Linked DNA regions of Arabidopsis thaliana. The protein of the gene in region 2 interacts with the protein of the main gene of each other region in a pairwise test. Each region holds a gene or a part of one and is shown on either strand. Other genes may lie near its edges.

Region 1 (3,221 bases), on a different chromosome or scaffold from region 2:
CGTTAAACTGAACACTGATATTTTTCCTTACAACTTTTCATAGGATGTGAGCAAAGCAAGAACACCAGAGAAGAAGAAAAGCACTACAGAGAAAAATGTGAGCTTAAGCGCTCTCCAACAACACTTCTCTGGGAGTCTAAAGGATGCTGCAAAAAGCCTTGGTGGTGAGACTTCCGCATATTTCCAAGCATGGGTTTATTTTTGTTAGCACACAAACTATCTGACCCTCGACTTGGATTTTCTTCTGCAGTTTGTCCAACTACATTGAAACGGATATGCAGGCAACATGGGATCATGAGGTGGCCATCTCGTAAGATTAACAAAGTGAACAGGTCACTAAGGAAAATACAGACGGTACTGGACTCGGTCCAAGGTGTAGAAGGAGGACTAAAGTTCGACTCAGCAACTGGCGAATTCATTGCAGTTAGACCTTTTATTCAAGAAATTGATACCCAAAAGGGTCTGTCGTCTCTTGATAATGATGCACATGCAAGAAGAAGTCAGGAGGATATGCCTGACGATACTTCATTCAAGCTCCAGGAAGCTAAATCTGTCGACAATGCCATTAAGTTAGAGGAGGATACAACCATGAATCAAGCAAGACCAGGTAAGAACTTCTCTATCCATAAACCATAGATGGAGCGATTAGAATCTTAATCCATTTTCAGTTTTTGCAGGATCATTCATGGAGGTTAATGCTAGTGGTCAGCCATGGGCTTGGATGGCCAAAGAGTCTGGCTTGAATGGCAGTGAAGGAATAAAGAGCGTTTGCAACTTAAGCTCTGTGGAAATTTCAGATGGAATGGATCCAACAATCCGATGCAGTGGCAGTATTGTTGAACCTAACCAATCCATGTCATGCAGCATATCAGATTCATCAAATGGCTCAGGCGCAGTTCTGCGTGGAAGCTCATCTACTTCCATGGAAGATTGGAACCAAATGAGAACCCACAACAGTAATAGCAGCGAGAGTGGATCAACAACGCTGATCGTAAAGGCCAGTTATAGAGAAGACACTGTACGTTTCAAGTTCGAGCCATCAGTTGGGTGTCCTCAGCTCTACAAAGAAGTTGGAAAACGTTTTAAACTGCAGGACGGGTCGTTTCAGCTGAAGTACTTGGATGATGAAGAAGAATGGGTGATGCTGGTTACAGATTCTGATCTCCAAGAATGTTTGGAGATATTACATGGTATGGGAAAACACTCGGTGAAGTTTCTCGTTCGTGATTTGTCTGCCCCTCTAGGTAGTTCTGGTGGCAGTAATGGTTATCTTGGAACAGGCTTATGACGTCGTAAGACATAGACACACACAGTTATGTATTCCCAGTGAAAGAATGTTGTTTATTTCTCTAGATATTAGTATGCTTATAAATAGGCATGAAGGAGAAAGACAATTTTGGTATAGTGGAGTTCAGCAGAAAATGTATATGTTTTTTCGTTTTATATGAATCAGAGAATAAAAGTTGGATGTTATATCTACGTTGCTAATGTTGTACCTGCTCACCCATCTTTCATATAAGAAAAGAGAACACTTTTAGTTATCCCTGTGATGCAGAATCGTATTCTTTGTTATCTCTCCATTCCTGTGGAAACCAACAAAGTCAACTAAATTTCGGTTTAATTGGTTGGTTTTTAAGTCAACGAGGACTTGATTTTAGTTGGGCTTGGGCCTATAATTGTGTTCATCATTGGGTTTTTTCCCCCTTATCAGTTTAACGTCCATATCCATATCTTTTTCTTTTTTTAACGGCAAAGTTCATATCCATATCTTATGATGTGCCTAAAAGAGGGAGAAGATGCGAAGACAGAATTTTCATATTTGAAAGGGTTCGATATCGATATTGGGAAACGAATCAAGGTCAAAAAACTCAGTCTAATAGTTGAAATTTAAAAATTTTATTAATTCAATCCGATTGGTTTCGTTTTGTTATGGTTCGGTTCTATATCATCAAACCAATCGGTTTGGTCCTAAAGATAATTATAAATATTCACCAACACCAGTGTTAAACACATATCAACAAACCTAAAGTTAGATAAACAAAGAGAAAATGGCAAAGGCTATCGTTTCCATCTTCGTTGTCTTTTTCATCTTCTTCTTAGTCATTTCCGGTAAGCAAACTTACTCTCCGTTTCTTGACATATTTGTTTATAACTTAAAATTTACCCTTATGTTCTGGCTACAAATCTCTTTGACCATAGCAAAATCATGATATGATCATTCTATCTTTTCTTAATTTTGTTTATAACAGATGTGCCGGAGATAGAAGCGCAAGGTAACGAGTGCTTGAAAGAATACGGAGGTGATGTTGGTTTCGGCTTTTGTGCGCCTCGGATATTTCCGACGATTTGTTACACAAGATGCCGTGAGAACAAGGGAGCTAAAGGTGGAAGATGCCGTTGGGGACAGGGCAGTAACGTCAAATGCTTATGCGACTTCTGCGACGATACTCCACAGTAAAATCTAAAGCAATCGCTAATCAATGCACTAAGGCTGCCATAGACGCAATTATTATACACGTTGTCTTTACGTACATTCACAAGTTTTAGTCATGGTTTGTGTAATAAATGAATGTGAATGGTCTATCCAAGTGATGTAATGTGAAATCAGAAATAATGAAAGTGTGACTTTTGCTACTACAATCATGTTTTGGTAATACAATTTGACTAAGAAAGAAGAAACGTGCGAGTTTGGTTGCCTCATTGTTGTTGTGAATTTGGTATCCACATATTCTTATCTGTTTACTATGTGGAGAGCGTTCCGACTGTTTTGCGGCTAATCTAGCCGGTCAAAGACGAAGTCTGAATGTGATGAAATGTCAACATAAGATTTTAAATGAGCTCTGGATGTGACGTGTTTAATATTTTCACATGTACGGTTATTAGAGTAAATTATGATAGTTTTAAAATTTGGAAGCATAAAATTATGATGCTTAAGAAAATCATTATCTGTTATTCTATTTCTTTATTATATAATTTATTTTAAATAATATTAAAATGAAAAAATAATAATAGTTTTACAATATGATTTTAACAAAAATATACAATTAATAAGTCCTTTTTGGTAAGGACTCACATAAGTTTTTTGGTACTGCTCATATACATTGGAAAGTAGGATTTAGTATAAAAACTTTCTCATGCAATTATATAGAAATGTATATTAAAAAAAAAACAATTATTTCAGGTTTTTCATGAATCATGATTTATTTTACCACCGTGCTATT
Region 2 (5,486 bases):
TACCAAGAGACAAGTTATATAGTTGTACAAGATAGCTGCAAAACATCTTACCTCATTTCCTTTGTTACCATAACTGATCGAGATCTCCTTCTTTGGGATAGGACGTTGAGCAACTGCTTTACAGAATTGTAGCACTTAGTTTTCCGCATACAGATCAAAAAGAAGAGAGGAAAAAGAATGTTCTGTATTGTTTGATTGAAAAATTGTAGAAAGCTGAGAGGTAACACAAACAAATATTTGGCCAACCAGAGAGAAGGTACATGGAGAAAGGAACCCTAGATACTGATCCGATCCCATCAACTTCCCAAGTCGCCACAGGCTTCAAATCTATACTGCCATAACCATAGGTCATTATATCACATCACACTGGGATATACTCATTAACCATATCAACATTATGGAACGGAGAAACTGATAATAGAGTCTTTTTGAAACAAAGATTGGCATACCATGGTTGCAAAAGTCAATGCCAGGAACAAGCCCCTCAACCCATATTGTATCTCCGGATCCTACAGATGGCGCAGGTTGAGCCTGAATTTCTACCCATCAGAAAATGAAGAAACCCATGAAATTGTCGTTACATGATAGAATAATAATAATTAAAAAAGAGGCATTTCACACAGAATTCAGCAGACCGACGTTAATGACTTGCCTTTTTCCTCATTAGAATTAACTGGAGCCGTTTCAGGGGACTCACTTGTTGATGTGCATTCCCCGGTATCATCTTGGCTTTGTGGAAACACGAAAGAATGTGGAAGAGGAATATTCAAGGCGCGACTCCAGAATACAGAGTTTGCCCTGGCATAATTGAAAAAAGTCGCAAGATCACTAAGCAGCCCTTTACAAGACACAAAAGTCTGGTTCTACTAACAAGGAATAACACCAGTACCAAACATACCAGAGGAAGTGTTCAAAGGAGACCTTGCTGCACGAAGAGAGAAAACAAAATATGATTATCAATGAACAATAATTTGGTCTAAAAGTAGTGTAAATATGTCAACCTTTCGGAATCGCCATCCAAAATAAGAAGCTTTGTCACCAGGACCTCCACCTTGTCATGGTAAAGCGAGAGCAACTTCTTCTTCTGAGAATGAATACACGATGGTTATTGGGTTTAATAAATGAAAAGAGAAAATGTGGTTGCTATTTTAAGGACGATATGATAAGACAGGAATAAATGATCAAGATTGAGACCTGTAACTCGGTTGCGTGATACAAGTTAGTCCCTTTTAGCTCAAGGATGTCATCATCAGAAAACCAAAGAGGATTGCCAAATCGAGTAGGAAGCATATCAAGATACCTATCATATCATTTCTAGACAGATGAATACCCTTAAGCTTACGTAAATGTGTGCTAAGAGATTAAAAAAAAAACTTACGGCTTCCAAGAAGAATTGATACGAAGACGCTCCAAAGTGAGGAACAGAATCATGAGAAAGCGGTCATCAACTTGTCCTTGTTCGAACATTTTCTGACACTCAGGGCCCAGGAGAGGGTCCTGAAGAACTCTCATAGGGGTAATGGCCAGATCAAGCGGAACAACAAGCAAAACTTCTGAAAATTTCCAGAGCTGAATCAGAATTCAATATCAACTTTCCATACATATTCCCCGGAAAAAAACCCAGCAAGAAATGGTAAGAACAATACTATACCATCGGAAGCTTGAGTGGAGGTGGAAGCGAATATGCCAAATCCTTTTAGGGAGTCAGAATATTTGATGTTGCAGCCTCTTAATTCACCTCCATTCACCTGAATGAAATTAGATCGAAACACAAAATGCCATGATATAGAGCAGCAGATCAGGACTGAAAAACAACACTTAATCCGGATCTAACCTGAAGCCAATCTAGGAACCTTTCGAGTTTGGCTTCTTCTTCTGAAATCGCCATATCCTCCGGCGAAGATCAATATGCCGGCGACGGGTTTAACCGAGTAGAGAGGGGTTTTCAATCGTAACTCACAATACGCTGTCGTAATGGCTTCATCTATGTGGGCTTTTGTATGGGCTTATTTAGCGTTTATGAACTTAAACACACCAAATTTAAATTTTTAACAAAAAAAGAAAAATTGAACAAGTGAAAAACGATAACCAAAAAAATCAAACCAAGACTGCTGTGATATCCCAAAACCGAGAACCAAAATATTGAACCGGGCGGCGTTAAAAGTCTCTCGCCGCAGTTAAACTCTTCCGTACGCCAAATATCTAACAAGGAGCTCTTTAGATTGAGACTAGTGGAAGAGAGACGAGCAAGGAATTAGCAATGGCGGCGGATTTGCCGGAGGCGACAGTACAGAACATTCTGGACCAAGAGTCTCTTAAATGGGTTTTCGTCGGAGGTAAAGGAGGTGTTGGGAAGACGACATGCAGTTCAATTCTCGCAATTTGTCTCGCCAGTGTTCGATCCTCCGTTCTCATCATCTCCACCGATCCTGCTCACAATCTTAGTGATGCCTTTCAGCAACGCTTCACTAAATCTCCCACTTTGGTTCAAGGTTTCTCTAATCTCTTTGCCATGGTAAGCTTTCTCCGATTTTGTTCTAGATCGTGCTAGATTTTAGAGGGAATTTGGTAGTTTCGCTCCTGGATTTTAATCTCATTGGGAATTAGGGTTCTCTGATTCACGAATTTCAAACCGCAGATTGATGGATCAATTTTGATTTTGAAGTCAGATTTAGTACTTGCATAAATACGGTTGATTTGTGCCTTTCTTATCATATGCCCACTCTGATTTTGGGGATTAGGTTTGGAATTTGGACGCCAATTTGTATTCTTGATACGGAAGGGGATTGTGAAGAAGATTTGATGTCCCCAAATCAAATCGAATTTTTGTCTATTGTAGTTAAAATTCATGGCTAGTTATGCCAAATTCAAAAAAAAAAAAAAAAGTTGTTTTTTGTGGTTCTGGGTCGCCTCTAATAGACAGGCTTGATGATGACTTTATGGCTACTCTTCTAAGCTTGAAGCTCTTAGTTGTGTCTGTGTGTATATGTATATATATACACATACTATAAGCAAATGGTTACGATTCACACTCCTTCCCTCTTGATAGTGAGTGAATCTTGTTTGCTTTTCTCAGGAGGTAGATCCTACCGTTGAAACTGATGACATGGCTGGTACAGACGGGATGGATGGTTTATTCTCTGATTTGGCAAATGCGATTCCTGGAATCGATGAGGCTATGAGTTTTGCTGAGATGTTGAAGTAAATAGCCATTTAGTTCTTCTAGTAATCATCTGCCTTTATCCATGTATTATCACAGTCAAATTTTGATATGTTTATGTTTCCTTAGGTTGGTGCAAACAATGGATTATGCTACTATTGTGTTTGACACTGCTCCTACTGGACATACTCTCCGCCTGTTACAGTTTCCGGCCACACTAGAAAAGGGACTTTCGAAGTTGATGTCATTGAAGAGTAGATTTGGTGGCTTGATGACTCAGGCATGTCTTTAAGCTTGTCAAATTCAGTTTGCTTGGCAACAGATATTGCTCTTTGGTTTCTTCTTTGGCTGATTTTTCATGGAACTGATTGGTAATGCAGATGAGCCGTATGTTTGGCATGGAGGATGAGTTCGGAGAGGATGCTTTGCTGGGAAGACTTGAGGGCTTGAAAGATGTGATTGAGCAAGTAAATCGGCAATTCAAAGACCCGGTAACATTTTTTCAATTGTTTAAGTTCTTTGCTATTTTCAGTACTCATTGACTGTTTTCTTAACTCTGTTCGTGAAGTTTAGTTTTAGATTCTTCACATTGTTCTGTAGCATACGGTTTGACAGCATTCATTTGCATTAGTGAAAATTCTGATACATATCTAACAAACTCTGCATTTTAAGATAAGAAATTGACACATTTGGCTCCATTACGTAGGATATGACTACGTTCGTTTGTGTCTGCATCCCCGAGTTCTTGTCTCTCTATGAAACAGAGAGACTTGTTCAGGAACTCGCCAAGTTTGAGATTGACACGCATAACATTATCATCAACCAAGTACTATACGACGACGAAGGTGCCTATTTATTTGCTGTCGTGTCTATCTTCTCGTTTTGAACTTGTTTTACATACAAATTTGACGAATTATCTACACTTGTCTTCTGTAGATGTGGAGTCCAAGTTGCTCAGAGCAAGGATGCGGATGCAACAGAAGTATCTTGATCAGTTTTATATGCTATACGATGACTTTAATATCACAAAGCTTCCTCTGCTTCCGGAAGAGGTAAGAACGCATGACATTCAATATAGATGAGAAGGAACATGATCAAGACGAAAATGAAACTAAAGCCTTATATAATATACATCCTGAGATTTACACTTGTTGTGGATGTTTGGATCACAGGTGACAGGGGTTGAAGCCTTAAAGGCGTTTTCACATAAGTTCTTGACGCCGTACCATCCTACCACTAGCAGGAGCAATGTAGAGGAGCTGGAGAGGAAAGTACACACATTGCGTTTGCAGTTAAAAACAGCTGAAGAAGAACTCGAACGGGTCAAGAGTGGCTAAAGATAAGGCTCTGTTCTTCCCTTTAATTGTAAGTTTCTTTCCTCGCCATATTCTTGGAACTCACTTGCTTTCTACATGGGGGTCTTCTGGATCTGCGTTGTCATTTGGGTTTATTGTTGTTTATGTTTTGAACAATTTATAGGTGGAAAATTAAAACTGAATCTTTTTCTCTCTAGTTCTTCATCTAGCAACAACTCTTTATAGGACAGGAAAGAAGATCAAGCAGAATCTTCTTTTGCGTTGTTTTATTGTTATGCATTGGATTTGTTTTTATATTTGTAATAATCATGACTACATAGACTCATATCTACCAAGAAATCGTTGTTTTACGACTTAATCAGCTTTTTATATATTAAGTTGAAGGGTATCTGTGACAAGCGAATGCTATGATCTCTTGTAACAGCTTTTTATATACTGTAGACTGGTCTTGCAACAGAGAAGGAAAATTCATGTAAAAAAATTATAGTAAATAAGAGATGTTTTGATTTATTGACAAATTCTTACAAGTTTAGGGTAAGCTTTTGTTCAATAAGTTTCTTTGGTATATAATAAATATGAAAATGGCAATCAATAGATGCGAAATTTATTCCCACGTCACGGCGATTGGGCTTCTGACGTTGTATTTGTCACATATCCAAACCAAAACTCCAAAGGAAGACGAAGACGAATTTCTCGAAGCTTCTGCATCATACGTCACCGTATAACTCAACCTCTCTCTGGCCTTCTGGAACTTGAGCACCTTTGGTTCAACTCTCACCTTCACACCTTTTGGTTCCTCAACGTGCACCATATACTCACAAGTCGGTGACCCAACGTTAGTCACAGTCCTCTTATATCTCACCGTTTTCAAATTCGCGCCATTAACGAGGTTGACCGCGAACGAGGGATAGTTCAAATCACCGGGACTCAAAACGACGGCGTTACTAGCACACGTGTAGTTAGTGCCGGAGAACAAGAGTATTCTCTCACTCGTGTAGTTCAAGCTGCAC
Region 3 (4,569 bases), on a different chromosome or scaffold from region 2:
TGCGTTCGAGACAGATAAGGCACGAGACAGCACCGGAAGAAGACGAGGCGAGAAAAGATTGGATCTTAGCGAGATCGATTGAGGAAGGGGACGAAGATGAGTGGCAATCGAGGTAAGCTTCGAAGATGGAGTTTGATAGATCATTGTGACGGTGCTGATGATTCTCTGAATCAGATCCGGAGTCTGAATCTGAATCTGAAATGGGTTGCTCTTGTGACGGAGGCTGTGGTGGTGATTTCCACCGGAACTCGGTGGTGGCGGTTCCGGCCATATTAGTCATTCTTCTTCTTCATCTCCTTCTTAAGGACAAAGTCCAGAAATTTGGGGGGGAATAAGAAGAAGAAGAAGACACGTGATGCTCTCGTGAGCATTGTAATGACCAAATTACCGGTTTAATTTGGATTTACCGGCTTAGTTAAGACAGTTTCTAGCTTATCCCCAAGGACTTCTCGCGTTATCTTCTCGAAGTTGATAAGCACGATCACTTATCTATGATTATCCTCTTTTCCTTTTTTGCAAGAGAATTAAGTCATTTAACATTTCCTTAAAATCATTCCGATTTAAAACAGATTATCTAACTCGAAAATACAGCTACTCAGTTTTGAACACCCTAAATCATCCAAAGATCTCATATACAAAAGGATCTCTAAACTCAAATCAAAGTCACAGCCCAAAGCATAAGAAACTTGTGGTAGATTCAATCTATGAAGGCATGTTGGAGCTCATGGCTTGATGTATTCTCGAATGAAGTCTTCAATCTGGATGGTTTCTCCGGTAAGTCCAGATGCCTCAGCGACAGTGACTTTGTTGGAGCAATGCGTGAAGGAGAACACTTCTCCCTCAATTCCAATGGTGAAGTCATTCGCTATATCAGCAGTAGAGACTGCACTCCTTGAAGCCCTCAGTTTCTCACTGCAAAAACTCATCAACCAATGATGATTAGCTTTTATGCAGGAAGATAGGCTTTATATATAAGAAAATTTTGTCAAGAAAACTGAAATTCTTACATTTCTTTCTCCATTTGCTTCCGGATAAACTCCTTGGTGTGTGCAGTGAGTTTATCGGTCTTGTTACAGCAAAGGAGGACTGGAATCTTCTTCTTGACAACATTCGCATTGGTCAGAATCTCGTATAGGTACCTATCACCATAAAAAACCATGGCAATGCCTCATTTTCAACATTGAGATGCAAACATATGCAAACATGTCTCTTATCTGTGTCTTACAATGCGTGTGTGTGGAAGAGAGAGGGTGTTTGAAATTACTCTGAAGCTGCACGACAGTTTGGGAGGAACTCCAAGGCATCCACTACGAACACAATGGCAGCTGCTTGGGGCAAGAATTCTTCTAGCTTGGGTCGAAGCCGAGAGTGCCCAGGAACATCAACAAGATGAACAGGCTTGATTTTTCCTTTCTGTCACAAAGAGCAAGCACGGGACATGGTTTAGTAATATGTTATTCCATCCATCACAATCAACTGCACGTGTTGTTTACAACAGAACACAGTAAGATTCTTTACCTTAGTATTTTCACTGTGAAGAACAAAAGTGCCTTCATTTGGTTCCATTGATGTTACAGTGCCCTGATGCGACGATCCATCTCGGAGCTGCCAATCAAACAATTATCGTGTTATAACTCTCCAACAATGACCTAGTCACTCACACTGACTCACAATAGTGACACATTACAAAAAAAAAGTACATTTGAAGGAAAGTCATAAACAATATTCATATGAAAAAGGTAACGTCAAGCCAAAACACTCACTTGGTAAAAGAGCACAGTCTTTCCACTTCCGGTCAGCCCAGAAAGGAGTACAGTGTTGGATTTGGTACGTCTGACCAGGCGAACTGCATACCCCAGCAAGAACAACAAGTTTAGCAACAAAAGATCAAAAGTTTGTTTATGTATAATCAAAGAAAAATCATGAATAAACCTCAGAAATTGCAATAATAGTTCTAATTCCAATACACAAAATACTCTGGCTTAATCACAAGTCTAAAATGGTACCATGAGAACTATAACCTCTGCAGTTGTAAACAATAGCAGGCAGAAGAAAAGTAATTGAAGACATTTAGAAGAAGAACAGGCTATATGTCCTTATCAATGGCAAACAAGATACTACCAGGGGGAGATCTTACATAAATAAAGCAATTCTACTAGGAAAGGATTAAGAAACAACAAAGTGGTGTCTAATACATACTGGATAGGAAGAGCAAGATGGTTGTAAACAACAAAACACCAATGGCGGCATACAGCTGATTCGGTGGTATCTTCTGAAGATATTCAATTCCTTGATGCGACCACTGCTCAGCCAGAATTTTCAGATCTTCCAAGTTCTCCATTACTCTCTCAAGTTTCACTTCTTCTGCCAAGCTGTTCAAAACCTGCATCCAGAGATGTAATTCATTCCTCTTAAGACATAAAAATAACCTAGAGTTAACTAGAAAACTCTCTTCTCCTACACAAACAACATGCATGGGAATAATTTAAAACTGCTTCCTGAAAACAAAAATTGAAATCGGAACTCTCTAATATTTGCAAACATTATATCAATACTGGTTCTCACATTATCATGTTCATCCTTGTGATAAACCCAGTACAGTGACAATAATCATCTTGTGAACAAGGAACACAATTTGTTTATCCCAATTTAAAACCAGTTTTACCAGATCAATACAACCCGTAGACCCATACACGATCATCCCAAGTTATGAAAAGATAAATGCTAATCCTACATTGATGCGCTGTTTCAACGAGATGTAAAAAAATACAAACAGATTCCTCTAAAATTCCAGATAATGAATATAGACAAACAAGAGCTAAAATTTACCCAAGAGTAAATGAATCCATTTGGTGGAAGAGATAGAAACGCACCGATGGGAGAGGAGGCGGAAGACGAATACAACGACGGTGGAAGCGGAGAAGAACACGGCGACGATGATTTAGGGTTCAGATTTAATTTTATATATTAAAACCAGTTAGTGCTTCTTCATTTCAATTTGTTTCGAAGATAGTTAATGGGCCGAATAAAAGCCCATTAAACGTCAATACGAAGTCGTTTCAACTGTATCTGCTTCATCGCTTCTTTTCTCCCTTCTCTTCCCGCCGTGAATCTGGTGTCTGTGTCTGCATCTCCTTCCGACGAAAACAGATACACTCGAGTGAAGAAAGTATGAAATTTAACTTTAACGAGACAGAGGATGCACCAGATTCACGACGATCTCCGACGCCCAAAGAGCCGGTTAGGTGGGTTCCTCTCCAGAGCCACCCGGTTTTCGCTTCTCTTCCTTCCTCCCAAGATGAACCCGCCGTGTCGCAGCTGTTTCCGAGAAATTTCATGGCTTGGGACGGAGACTCGCGCGTATACTACTGGGATTCGAGACGATATCTCCTTCACCGATTATCTCTGCGCTTGGGTGAACCTGAACCATCCTCCGTCCTCGCCGCAGTCCCGTCCAAGGTCATTTACTCTCTCTCTCTCTCTCTCTCTCTCTCTTTCTGTTTTCACCGCTAAGTCGGCCAAAATGAGTATTGAAAAGAAGATTTATCGAAAGCTCTTTTTTAGTGCTGACATTTTACTGACTTTGAGAAATTAGGTTTAGGAAGAGTTTGAGAAATTAGATTTCTTACTGATGGATGATAATAGGAAGATCTTTTCTACTTGCTATGTACTACTGTCAAAAACCTTTAGTTTTCCTCTGTTGTCTTTGCTACATAAGATAAATTATAGGTGATTGATTCATCATGTAGTGATTGACTAAGCTTTACTAATAAATGATATTATAGGTGATGCAACCAGACCTTCAGGTGACATTTTCTGTTAGCAAAATCTCCATCAATAAGTCTGGATCAGCTGTACTTCTTGCCGGCTCAGATGGGATATGTGTGATGTACCTATTTGGACGTGCTTCTGTGATAGAAGACAATGTCATTTGCAGGTAGTGATTAACGTTACCCTAATAAGATGCATTTATATTCATTGTTATCTTGATTATGATGTTATCTTGCTTAAATTAATGGCCTTCTGCTTATACGTTATCACTTCATAATCTATGTGTTGCAGGGTAGTTTCTATTGGTTCAGAAATCTATACTAGTAGTGACAGTGCCATAACCTTGCTACAAGCATCGTGGCACCCTGATAGTGACACCCATTTGGGAATTCTATCCTCGGATGCAGTTTTCAGGTAACAATCTTTTCGGCTGATAGTGAAGGTGGATGTACATGTCAATATATTGATCAATATCATTATGGAAAGATGTTAGAGAAATTGTAGAAAAAATCAGTTCCTAAGGTTGTAGATTGTTAGTTTCTGCCATGCAATGACTTACTATGTTACCATCTGGTCCAGTCTCTCATTATAAAGAATCAAATCGTTTTATTTAATCCTGATTTAAGAGCTTTTTAGCTTACTAAAAGATATTTGTATGCTAGGCTTTTCGATTTGTCTTCAGATACTGAGCTACCAGAGCAAGAATATTATCTGCAGCCCGGTGAGCCAGGAAGATCTAGAACAGCTTCATCAATTTATCCTGCTGATTTCAGTTTTGGAGGAGATCATCTGTGGGAT

Evidence for each region.
Region 1: the proteins of AT1G01910 (region 2) and TI1 interact in a two-hybrid assay, tested with the Arabidopsis thaliana proteins (one large-scale study listed by BioGRID).
Region 3: the proteins of AT1G01910 (region 2) and AT5G05670 interact in a two-hybrid assay, tested with the Arabidopsis thaliana proteins (one large-scale study listed by BioGRID).

What each region holds. Positions count from the first base shown.
Region 1 is NC_003071.7:18,065,163-18,068,383, forward strand, and holds TI1 (trypsin inhibitor protein 1), read left to right. Parts: upstream 1-1,797; 5' UTR 1,798-2,048; coding exon 2,049-2,109; intron 2,110-2,249; coding exon 2,250-2,458; 3' UTR 2,459-2,698; downstream 2,699-3,221. Other genes in the region: AT2G43500 (Plant regulator RWP-RK family protein), read left to right, coding at 44-203, 251-607, 678-1,288.
Region 2 is NC_003070.9:312,606-318,091, reverse strand, and holds AT1G01910 (P-loop containing nucleoside triphosphate hydrolases superfamily protein), read left to right. Parts: upstream 1-2,001; 5' UTR 2,002-2,260; coding exon 2,261-2,515; intron 2,516-3,076; coding exon 3,077-3,201; intron 3,202-3,289; coding exon 3,290-3,440; intron 3,441-3,540; coding exon 3,541-3,651; exon of another isoform or gene 3,652-3,866; coding exon 3,867-4,005; intron 4,006-4,096; coding exon 4,097-4,212; coding exon of another isoform or gene 4,213-4,220; intron 4,221-4,332; coding exon 4,333-4,497; 3' UTR 4,498-4,938; downstream 4,939-5,486. Other genes in the region: AT1G01920 (SET domain-containing protein), read right to left, coding at 52-113, 247-327, 450-531, 636-798, 899-925, 1,002-1,084, 1,195-1,300, 1,379-1,553 and 2 more; SBTI1.1 (subtilase family protein), read right to left, coding at 5,081-5,486. UniProt on the Arabidopsis thaliana protein: ATPase required for the post-translational delivery of tail-anchored (TA) proteins to the endoplasmic reticulum. Recognizes and selectively binds the transmembrane domain of TA proteins in the cytosol.
Region 3 is NC_003076.8:1,695,194-1,699,762, forward strand, and holds AT5G05670 (signal recognition particle binding protein), read right to left. Parts: upstream 2,999-4,569; 5' UTR 2,830-2,998; intron 2,384-2,829; 5' UTR 2,342-2,383; coding exon 2,200-2,341; intron 1,847-2,199; coding exon 1,764-1,846; intron 1,606-1,763; coding exon 1,519-1,605; intron 1,414-1,518; coding exon 1,265-1,413; intron 1,140-1,264; coding exon 1,008-1,139; intron 937-1,007; coding exon of another isoform or gene 913-936; coding exon 723-912; coding exon of another isoform or gene 705-722; 3' UTR 524-704; downstream 1-523. Other genes in the region: NF-X1-type zinc finger protein NFXL2, read right to left, coding at 1-280; AT5G05675 (uncharacterized protein), read left to right, coding at 705-774, 785-936; MOS7 (nuclear pore complex protein-like protein), read left to right, coding at 3,172-3,459, 3,786-3,937, 4,063-4,185, 4,434-4,569.